Linked DNA regions of Bombyx mori. The protein of the gene in region 2 binds, or shares a complex with, the protein of the main gene of each other region. Links are inferred from orthologs where the notes say so. Each region holds a gene or a part of one and is shown on either strand. Other genes may lie near its edges.

Region 1 (4,222 bases), on a different chromosome or scaffold from region 2:
ATGAGATTTTCTTAAATTACTTTTTTTTTTACATCTCTTTTGACTTGGTTTTAAACCGTGGCTCTACACATTTCGTCCAGGAAAAGTATCAGTATGAATACTTTCACTTTAAAAAAAATCATGTCAATCCATTGGTTTGTATTGACGTGAAAGAACAACATTTTAACATTACAATACACATATAATATTTTGCACCAATGAGTCTATACTTCATGAGCTCAAAATAATTGAGTGCCGCCTTGGCCTACTGCAGTCCCATATCCTGATATTTTTGAACAAGTGTCATGGGGTGGGAATCTTTCTATATTCTTCTTCGATTACATTATATTTTATGTTTACAATGAACTACTGATATGGTATGTAGTTCACAGAATGCACAATTACCGACCGGGTTTACTGAAATTTCAGATGAATTTTAGCTATGTTAAGTAACAATCCAAAAATGAAAATAGTATAATAGTTTTTATTTTCTAAGCTTTTTGGGATTTATTTAAATAATGATGAATTTAATAAAGTGCTACCAAGTTGTTAATTCCATGCTGAAGAGAAGGTGTTTTACCTGCCAAGTGTAGACGTCAATTAAGTAAAAATTACTTAAGTAAGTAAAAGGTAAGTACTTAATTTTATGTGGCTGTAGGTGAATTATTGTAAGAGTAATAAAATATATACCTATGGCCTTAGTGTAATGTCTGGCACCAAGCAACAGTTCAGGAGCTCTGTACCAAAATGTGACTACTACTGGATCTAAGTCAGCAAGTGGTTTCAAAGGTGCATTGAATAATCTTGCAAATCCCATGTCAGCTATTTTAACTCGGCCACGCTCCGGTCCTTCACCCATTACTAATATGTTGGCTGGTTTCTGGAGTATTAATTGTAAATAACATATATTGATATTGAACAAAAATAATATTTATCGATTCATTAAGTTTGATTTATGGTACACCAAAATAATCTATATATATAAAAATAATTGCTGTTCATTAGTCTCGCTAAAACTCGAGAACGGCTTAATTTTGGTCTTGAATTATTTGTGGAAGTCCAGAGGTTTAAAAGGTAGATAAATATGAAAATGTTCGGAATTAAATAAAAATAACAATTTTGTTTTTCCTTTGATATGTCCCCCGTCGGACGGATTCCTTCTGTTTGTTTTAAGTTTATTTTATGCAAAAGTTTGGGTCTTTTATTTATCGATTGAGGCACTACAAAGTCTGCCGGGTCAGCTAGTAATAAATAAATAAAAAAACAACAAATGCACATCATTCAACACAAAAAGAGATTAGTAAGACTGCCGTCCTAGTCTTTCTAATCTCTTCCAGGCCAACAGTAGAATTTCTATCAATTATAGTAATTTATTTAATATAATATTTATTATACTTTTATATATTATGTTATCTAATTTAGTATAAATTACAATTTCAATACAACATGAACTCATAGTATGTGAACGATTCATCATTATAAATATTACTATATACATCACACTCACCAGATCTCGATGCAAAACCCAGTTTGAATGTAAATAATGTATCCCATCCAATATCTGATAGAGGAGGCTCTTCACCATTCCTTTTGGCACCATAACTGATTTTTTATTAGCTTTAGCTGCTCTATGAAATTTGATTATATGCCACAAATCATGTTCTGCATAGTCAAATAGCAGCCAGACTTTTCGGTCAGTATGTGAAAGAAACACTCTAATAAGATTTATGACATTAGGATGTTTCAACTCTCTTAATAGCTAGAAAATAAATTGTTACACGAACTTTTTTATTATGATCTAAACCACACTACTATATTGTAGACCGAATATGAAGTAGAAAAACAGCTGATAATGCAATGTTTGTTTACAGTACACAATAATTATACAACACAACACAATCAAAATAGGTGTAATATCCCATGAACATATTATTTGAAATAATAATAGAAACAAGAATCAAAATATGCAAATTTTTTACATGGTGATGGTGAGTGGTTACCGTCATCCATGGACTTCAGCCAGGGGCTTAGCCAAGCCCCTGCCTACTGTTAAGTACTCTCCACAGCCCTCGTTTGAAGAAGGGCATGTCATAGCGCTTCGGAAACACCATGAAGGGGAGCTCATTTCAAAGCCGTATGGTACATGGCAAAAATATGTATGGAAACACACTGTGGATGAACTGAGTGGCTCAAGGTAGTGTGGACAAACTCTATTTCGGTGGTCGGCGGTGCGATGGTAAAAACGAGATGATGGAATCATTTCAAACAGTTCCTCATAGCACTCCCCATAGAACATATTATTATGGTAATAAATTCACATTTATACAGATATAAATTATTTAAAATTTAAAATTTTTATTTAAAATTAAAAACAAATTACTTAAATGAAATAATTATGTTGTATTTATACTTACAGCAATTTCCCTACATGCTGACATAGAAAGTCCAGTTCCTTCAATTTGTTTCAAAGCATAATCTTTGGTATCGGAGCCATCCTTCCTTCTGGCTTTATATACATGGCCATATGTACCTCTACCTACTTTACAGCCCTCATAGTCGAACAAGTCTTCCACTTTGGAACGTTCATTTTGAGTCTTGATTTTGAAATCGTAGTCCATCATCACAGCCGCCATGGTCTTATTTTGAAAGTTGTCTCCCATTGTTACGGTCGGGAAATGCAGTTTGGATCCCTGACTAATTAGGATTTATATTTTATTACACTTTAAATCATTTTGAATACCTTCCCTCACAAGTTATATACAAGACGTTATTCACTGAGCAAGTAATCACTACGTTATAACATTATTCTCCGTGAATTAGTGAAAAAGCCGTTATATCTAGTTCATGAGTGCAAATTATATCTATACTAGCCTAAATCTTTAAATTAAAACACTAAAACTAGCTTAAATAATTAAATTAAGTTTCATTCTCAAATAAATTAAGTGTATAATCTATGGTTTCATCTGCTTTTTTTTAAGTGATTTTATGACCTGGTAACTAAGACCTTTAAGTCATGTCTTATTTTAATTTATATTCTTATTTTTATGAAAAATGATAATATGGAGGGAAATGAAATGAAAATGATTAATCAACTGGGATGAAATTAAATGAAATGAGATGATATAGGATGAATATAATCTTAGTAAAATGGTGGTCATTTACTAAGATTTTTTCAGTGAACTTTTTGGAGGATCCCGAGAAGTTGCGTCCAGCGGCTTTGTTTCATTTTCCCACATTTGTGCACTTTCACAGATATTAAACAGTTAATAAACCACCGTTATTACACATTTAAACTTGAAGAAACACTAAATAGACAAAATAAAACAAATCACACAACTTCACTCCTCGCGTTCCCGCCAAAAAGTTTAAGTTTCATCTGTGATCATTAAAGTAGCCATATGCATATTTTTAAGGGATTTTACGACCTGGTAACTAAGACTTATAAGTCAAGTCTTATTTTAATTTAATGAAAACTTTTGTTTAATATGAAAAATTATAGAAATGAAATGAGATGAAAACGAAATGAAATACAATGAAAACGAAGTGAAATGAAACGAGATGAAATGATATGGGATTATATTTCAAATCTCAGTAAACTGGTGGTCATTCACTAAGACTTTTGAAGTGGACTTTTTGGAGGATCCCGAGAAGTTACGTTCAGCGGCTTTGTTTCATTTTCCCACATTTGTGCGCTTTCACAGATATTAAACAATTAATAAGCCACTGTTAATACACATTTAAACCTGAAGAAACACTAAATAGACAAAAAAAACAAATCACACAACTTCACTCCTCGCGTTCCCGCCAAATTATTTATGGTAATTTATGTCCGGGTAACTAAGACCTTTAAGTCATGTCTTATTTTAATTTATATTCTTATTTTTATGAAAAATGATAATATGGAGTGAAATGAAATGAAATGAAGACGATTGATTTGTAACATTAATCAACCGGGATGAAATGAAATGAGATGATATAGCATGAAATAATATAATCTCAGAAAAATGGTGGTCATTTACTGAGATTTTTTCAGTGGATCCCATATCATCTCATCTTATTTCATTTAATTTCGTGCCAATTGATTAATGTTACAAATTAATCATCTTCATTTCATTTCACTTCATATTATCATTTTTCATAAAAAAATTATAACCGATTAAGGTGTATGGTATGATACTTTTGCCTTCATAGTTGGAAAAATATAACTACTACTACTACTACAATACTGTTAATTGACAGTTGC
Region 2 (3,130 bases):
CATTTGTGTCAGTGTACAGATCGATATTTGCTGTTCGATGATTAATTAATAAACGCGTGTTTTTTTAAATAATATTTATTGCAAAACAAAAACAGGAATTTATGGCTATAGGTTTTATAATAGTATTTCTAATTTCGAATAAGATTAGAACGGTGACATTGACTTCTTTCGGCGTTTTCTCGATTACTTTTATTCTAGCTTGTATAAATTCTAATTTTACGATTTTCAATTTCTCCACATTACTGATAGACGAAGTGGAAAATAAACAAAATTTCTTATATTCTGTTTTAATCGATATATTGTTAAACAATTTGTTTTTATTTACTTTCGGTATATATTCGAGAACCCTGTTTTCTTTATTTAAATTATCTTAAATATTCAATCAAATGAAGGAAAGGAATTGAAGTTAATGTATCTGATGAATTGAAGGAATATTAACTGAGACTTCGTGGAAGAACCGGTAATCCATGCTCTGTATTTTTTAATTTTGGCGACGCTTGTGTACGATCACAAGATGCTAAATCACTAATGAATTGAAATGGGATATTCAATGTATCACATACCATATTTTCGTAAAATTATTTGTAATAAATGTATACCGGAGGTAGATTAAAAAAATGTGTATTTTTTACAAAAGTTTTATTTCTAAAAAAATATTTACAAAATATGTTTGATGTTTTCGTATTTCAAACGTTATGACTAAACTCTAAAATATGATTACAGAAAATTAGTTAATTATTAAGCTATTGCTATCTACAGTACTCGTATGTCATAATTTTCTAAGAGATTTAACCTAAACAAATAGAGGTCATTTGTTATATTACTACTTACTTCTAATATAATTCTTTACAAATTAAATAACCGGACTAAAATAAATAATACGTGTTCTTCAAACCAATCTACTTAAATATTAATGTATTCGAAGGTCATAGACAACAAATCTGTTTTTCACGATAGGTATGTGATTGATGCGTGTAGGGGATTACGAATTTCATTTTTCATTATTAACATACAGAAAGACGAATTCACGGAGTTGAGCGTTTACCTTAGTGCTTGGATACAACAAGGTGAATGCCGCTGCCATCTCGATATATGTAAGGTCTTAATTGTAATTAAATAATGGCAGCCCTATCTTTCAAGACGGAACGCCTGATCGCATCGTGGCAAAAACAAATAGGGTGGTAGTACATACACGGTAGTACGTACATACATATCGCCAGTAAATACCCTAGTATAATACTCAGAGAATTTTCTAATTAAACAAATGTGTAATTTGGAACAGATAAAGGACTAATAAGGGTCCGTTCACACAGACCGGCTCGGAGAGGAGATTTTTCCCGTTGGAAACAGTTTTGAGTAGGTAATTGTAGTAAAATTTATTTTTGCATGTACACTTATTTGTCCTTAAGAATGCTTGAACGCGGAAATAATAAGAGGAGCCGCCCGGCTCCGATTGTGTGCGCTTCCGCTTTCAGATCTCTTTCAGTCGGTCTCTGCTCCGGCGGCTCCACTCCGGCCAATCCCAAACGTAGACGACCCGGTCTGTGTGAAAATAAAACAGCGGGCCGATGCTCTTCGAGCTGGTCTGTGTGAACGGACCCTAACACAGTAACAATAGAAACGTACTTGCTATTTTCTCTTGGTACATTACTCCGGTTTACTTGCATCAAGCAATGCGACTATGCCAAATCTAGCTAGCGCTAACATTTACCCCAAGTATTTTGCTAGCAATGAAATTTCGCACATTTGACAATCGCATTTTGGCATCTACCGTCTGTTCGCGTTAAGAGTGCAACGAATCCGGATAGGGACCGACTTGGCTTGCTTTCTCATCGTAACAGTATCGTCGGTTTTAGTTTGATAATTTATATGCTTATTATATTGTTGTGTGTAAAACTACTAACGATAAGATCTGGATAATGTGAAAATCATACATACACTTGCATACGCCGGTTTGACTGATTTATGTATATATATAGATTATGTGTATTTTCAATAGGGCGGTTGATATTGCTGTTGCCGCTGCAGGTGCTGTACGAGCGGCCCTTGTTGCTGTTGCTGTTGCATCGCCAGCATCTGTTGCCGCATGCGTTGCTGCGTCATCTGTTGCTGGTACTGCGTGCTCTGCTGGGGCTGCATGCCGCGCGGGTAGGGCGGGGCGGGGCCGCCCATGCCGCCCATCGTCACGTTCGGCGCCTGCTGTTTTTTGTTTCAGCAAGTATAAGTTTGGATAGAAGTGTGAATCTTAGATGTTTATAGGTATATAGGTATTCATGGGAACGAACCTGCATGTACGGCGGTCGAGCGGTTTGTCTTTGTTGTGCTAAATAGGCTTCTTGTGTGGCGCGACCACCCATCATGTTCTACAAATAAAATAAAAAGTATTTTTATTTTAAGGAAATTTTAAAGCTTGACACTAATCTTTAATTTATTCACATTTTTATTCACCTGCTGGAATGATTGTTGTCCAGCGAACGCTCCCATGCCATTGCCAGCTTGAGGACCCATTGAACCAGCCTGCGTATTCATGCCGCCCATACCAGTAGCTTGACCCATTTGACCCATCTGACTCATAGGTTGACCCATTTGAGCCATGCTTTGGTTCATCTGACTCATGCCTTGTGGCATTTGTGCAGATTGACCAACACCCTGATTCATTTGGGGGACATTCTGTCCCATAGAATTGACACTTTGACCCATGGCGTTGACTTGTTGTCCCATTTGGCTAACGCTCTGTCCCATTCCCTAAAACAAGTATTTCATTTAAATGCTTATATTTAGTTTTAACATATTTAAATTTAGTGATTAAATAATGTGGGTACTTGAGACATCATCTGTTGCTGTCCGCCCTGCATCATCTGTTGCCCGTAGCCGGCGTAGCTTTGTTGCATACCGCCGTACTGTCCGCCGAACATCTGTCCGCCCATACCGCCCATCTGTCCGGCGCCCATTTGTGCACCGCCCATCGGGGCCGAACTCATTTGCCCTCCGGCCATTTGTGCTGGCATCTGTACCCCTCCCATTTGATTCATCGGTCCCATGCCGCCCATGCCCCCCATTGGATTCATTTGCCTGTGACAAATATGAAGGATTTACGATATATTATATTACTTTTTATAGCTTTATTGCT
Region 3 (4,400 bases), on a different chromosome or scaffold from region 2:
AGTAAGGCACTGATTTCGTAAAGCCAGGTAGAAGTTTTTTAACGACCTTGAGATATACGACGAACGCAAGTATTCGTTGTAATTGCTCATTTATTTACTACCACGCTACTGAAGTATCATGATACTGCTACTTTTAAACTAAGCTGTTAAGCCTTAATATGTTTAATGCCTACGTTATTTGTACATTTTAAAATTGTGTACTGAGGGAGTTCATAATTTTTTTTTAATTTTTTTTTTATTGCTTAGGTATGTGGACGAGCTCACAGCCCACCTGGTGTTAAGTGGTTACTGGAGCCCATAGACATCTATAACGTAAATGCGCCACACACCTTGAGATATAGTTCTAAGGTCTCAGTATTGTCACAACGGCTACCCCACCCTTCAAACCGAAACGCATTACTGCTTTACGGCAGAAATAGGCGGGGCGGTGGTACCTACCCGCGCGGACTCACAAGAGGTCCTACCACCAGTAAAGTTCTTTAAAACGTTTTTCTTTTCATTAAGACTCACCCTCCCGCGTCAATTGGGTAATAGCATACTGTGTGCACAAATAAAATACTTCAGCAGGAGTGAAAGAAAATCCTAATTTTTATTATCTGTGTTATAATGTAATTTTAAAGTTGACGTAAGCTTTTAATTTATGACCCCCCGATTTAATGAGGTATTATTATTAGACCCCCCATTCGTTTTCTGTGCAGCTCCTAAAGGACTTTAATAAAAATTAAAGATTTTTTAGATTTCTTCCTGGTTAAGTCATTTAAAGTTTATAATCGAGTTTTAATTTTCGTACATAATTAAATATTTCAGATTTATTTTGTAGATACATATAACGGCAGTTAAATAATTATAAAAACGAAAACTTTCAACACCTAACAATCACAAGAGTTGAGTTGTTTTCTATGTGAGATAAAAATTAAGATTACGTTATGTAGTATTATTGTAAAAGTTATGACCTACAAGGAACTAAGGATTCATAACACTGGGAAAATATGAGCACATTCAAGGCGAAATTGAAGTCGTGCTCCGTATGCATAGAGGGCGATAAGGGGTCGGAGGCCGAGGGTGGGAGCAGTGTTCGTCAGATGTCATGAATAACTTAACGGTGGATTTCAACACTTTATGGTCACCATCATGTAACCAGATCGGTTATGAATATTTTCATTTTAGACTGAGAATGGTTTGCCGTCGTACGCCATTTTACTGTTCATCTAATGGCTATATTTAACGATTACAATATAAAAAAGGCAACATTGAATCGTTTCGAAACTGAACAAAATTAGGAATGTTTTAACCTAGTAGAAGACAAAGGGCCACAAGTGAACAGGTAATCTGTCCGCACGCGAGTAGTGCCTGGGCGGAGGCCCGCTTATGGGAAAGTTACAATCATTACGACCATTCATAAACGGTTGAATGAGCCGCAAGACGCCTGCGCAGCCGGCAAACCAGTGCGCGCGCGCACACATCGCGACATCTGTCTTGTCGCGGAGCAGACGCCGCTGTGTTGCGATACCATCTCGACGCCGAACGATCTCCTCAATATTTCATCTTTTATATCCTGAAGCCATAACTCAGCCCAAGGAAAAACCTATTTGAAAATTATATCTGACAAAAACAACAGACTAAAAGAGTGTAATGAACCCGTCAACCTAGCAACCTCTGATGCGTCATCGCAGTCATCGCGCTACGTAAACGAGTACAATTCCACACGACAAAAGCTTGTGTCCGCAAACGACGCATAAATAATTAGACAATAAGCAGGCAGGGCAAGAAATCGGTAATTTGTATCGTGTCGAGATAGGCGGAGCGCAGAGGGAGACGGGTGCAGGCAGGCGCGCGCCGCCGCGGCGCGAAGATATGGCAACGCGTCAGGTGGAAGTGGCGCCCGTGCTGTTCTCGCTTCTCGCCGAGGACGACCGAGCGCCCCCGGCTCCCCGCACCTTCAACCCGCACCCGCTAATCCTCACCCGAACACAATCTGATAAAATTCGCGCCAGCTATGAACATTACGCAAAGTCGTTCAACACTATAAGGCACCGATAATGAATGACCCCGACGATTTCTATACCATGCTGTCATACATAAACATTCGAAGCTGTCTTGCTATCGAAAGATAAAGCGAACAATTTCAAACGTATGAAAGTTATTTCCTCGACTTGGCGAAACTAGTCTTGCGAACGCATTACGGTCCGCGTTACGGCCAGGTGAATTTAAAATGACCTCTATGGGCCGGTGGCTTCTCATGGCCTCGCTAGCCGAATGCGTTGACATTTTGTGGGTTAGCAACTCAACGTGAATCTGTGGTGTCGCGAGAACGATGCCAGGATGACTAACAAACAGGCGTCATTAGTTGTTTCTGTGTAAATGGTCTCATACTAAAATTATAGCGCAATAAGATCGATTAGGAAGTCCGATTGCAGAGAGGCGAATTTCGTATATCAACGGCCGATGACGATAATCAGATCGTCCACTTAACTGTCGTGGTCTCTTTAGTTAGGAATTCTCAAAAAAATGTGGACACGTAGTCAAACAATAGTGGACTTCACAGGTGTCACACACTTCGTAACGATTTCGAAAGAAAAGTACATACGAGTTCTTTCATCAATGTAAAAGTGACTTACCAAGGCGAAGAAGTTTGTGTGGCAATCCTCGAGACTTGCACCGTTTGTTTGGTGATTTTGATGCGTCATGGTAGTCCGGGGCACTTCATTTTCATTTCACAACACTAAAAACAGGTATAATCTTAAAGAAACCACTCAAAATCTTAAAATCATCACCGACATTTAGCGTAGTTTTCACCTCTCAATGGCGACTGGAAAATGGCGGAGAGGAAACAACAACCCAAGCCGACAGTGCTGCACCCAGCGGCAGAAATCGAAAGCTCATTTCGTCCAGAAACAATTACAATTCGTTCAACAATAATTATTAAATACAATTCATAATAGCTATAAATTAATTAAGGAGTCTTGTTCAAACGTTATAATTACTTTAGCAGCTTTTTAGACAAGGGCTTTGGATCAAAAACACCTTTTGACAGTCCAATAAATACGGAATTCAAGTTATAAAATTTATAGCTGGGACAACTCTGCGTTTAATGGAGTTACGCCACCAACCATCCTGTGGATTTGACAACTTCAAAAAAGTAAATATAGGTTATGGTTATGCTGTTCGCGAAAGATAACATTGTTTAAGAATTATAAATATAACAAAACTGACTAGTAGATACCAAAAAAAATTAAGAAATGCTCAGAAATGTATTATCACCCTTACGTCGTGGAAGTTTCCAGGTATGTTTCATCAGTATCTCCGCGTTCAAAACGCTCTTAAACAATTTAATGAAAACAAATATATTGTTTCACAGGTCACATCTATCAGACAAGCTCAAAAAAAATATCCCAAAGTAGATAAAAAGGTTCAAGCAGCGGCAGAATCCTTAGCGGCAAGAGGGTAACTAAAAAAAACCAATTCATGTCAATGTGTCAATAACAAGTCTTTTTGTTCTTCTCCAGAGGGTAGATGAGTTCATGGTTTCCCTGGCTTAAATTATTGAATAGAATCCATAGACATTACAGTGTGAATGCTACATCGAGATATTATGATAGTGTTGTTTGATTGTCACAAGTCAAAAGATTCACATGCTACTTAATATACATAAATCTTAATGATATACTTAAAATCTAAATGCTGCTACTCACCTTGAGACATTTAGATCTATGACACTAGATTCCGTGCCAACTATCATTATTAAAAAAATCTAAATAATTAAAAAAAAGAAAATGCATAGAAATATTTTGTTGCGAGCATGTTTTTTTGTAAATAATTCATGGCTTTTCTTGATTGAAAATTTCATTTAATTACATTTAAATTTAATCAAAGTACATTTTAAGGTATTGTTGCTGTTTAGAGATTCATATTACAGTATAAGATTTAAGTATTTTTTATTTATTTAAGCTTCCTACGTCCCACCAAGTCATGGGATCCACCTACAAACATCAATGAAACAATTCTGAAAATATGTGCAACATGTGGATTAAATGGAAATTCAGAATTTGAAGCATTGGACACAAAATTTACAGTTCTCAAAGCTTGTTATGAAGAAACAGGCCATAGTGTGCCTAATTCACTTTTGCATACAATTGAAACAGTTGGTTGGTAAACAATTCTTAATATTGAGATTGAAGTAGATAGGTACTCAAGTAGCCAATACCATTATACACATAAGAATAAGAGGACTATTAGTGATTGATATTCAAAATTAATTCAGATGAATTATTAATATGAATGATGAATGATTAATATTTAGAATATTACAATTGACATGTCCTTCTTCAAACGAGGCTTGTGGAGAGTATTAAGCGGTAGGCAGCGGCTTGGCTCTGCCCGTGGCATTGCTGAAGTCCATG

Evidence for each region.
Region 1: mediator of RNA polymerase II transcription subunit 12 (region 2) and cdk8 share a complex: the UniProt entries of both Drosophila melanogaster proteins name them as parts of the cdk8 module of the Mediator complex. The link is inferred for Bombyx mori from reciprocal best matches to the Drosophila melanogaster genes kto and Cdk8.
Region 3: mediator of RNA polymerase II transcription subunit 12 (region 2) and mediator of RNA polymerase II transcription subunit 13 share a complex: the UniProt entries of both Drosophila melanogaster proteins name them as parts of the cdk8 module of the Mediator complex. The link is inferred for Bombyx mori from reciprocal best matches to the Drosophila melanogaster genes kto and skd.

Annotation. Positions count from the first base shown.
Region 1 is NC_085129.1:10,512,981-10,517,202, reverse strand, and holds the start of cdk8 (cyclin dependent kinase 8), read right to left. Parts: upstream 2,878-4,222; 5' UTR 2,640-2,877; coding exon 2,394-2,639; intron 1,739-2,393; coding exon 1,487-1,738; intron 860-1,486; coding exon 670-859; intron 1-669. UniProt on the Drosophila melanogaster protein: Component of the Mediator complex, a coactivator involved in regulated gene transcription of nearly all RNA polymerase II-dependent genes.
Region 2 is NC_085121.1:11,894,008-11,897,137, forward strand, and holds the end of mediator of RNA polymerase II transcription subunit 12, read right to left. Parts: intron 3,073-3,130; coding exon 2,823-3,072; intron 2,746-2,822; coding exon 2,449-2,745; intron 2,364-2,448; coding exon 2,286-2,363; intron 2,200-2,285; coding exon 1,993-2,199; 3' UTR 623-1,992; downstream 1-622. UniProt on the Drosophila melanogaster protein: Component of the Mediator complex, a coactivator involved in regulated gene transcription of nearly all RNA polymerase II-dependent genes.
Region 3 is NC_085116.1:1,958,151-1,962,550, reverse strand, and holds the start of mediator of RNA polymerase II transcription subunit 13, read right to left. Parts: upstream 2,921-4,400; 5' UTR 2,797-2,920; intron 2,762-2,796; exon of another isoform or gene 2,723-2,761; 5' UTR 2,688-2,722; coding exon 2,619-2,687; intron 1-2,618. Other genes in the region: large ribosomal subunit protein mL50, read left to right, coding at 3,240-3,284, 3,359-3,444, 3,949-4,145. UniProt on the Drosophila melanogaster protein: Component of the Mediator complex, a coactivator involved in the regulated transcription of nearly all RNA polymerase II-dependent genes.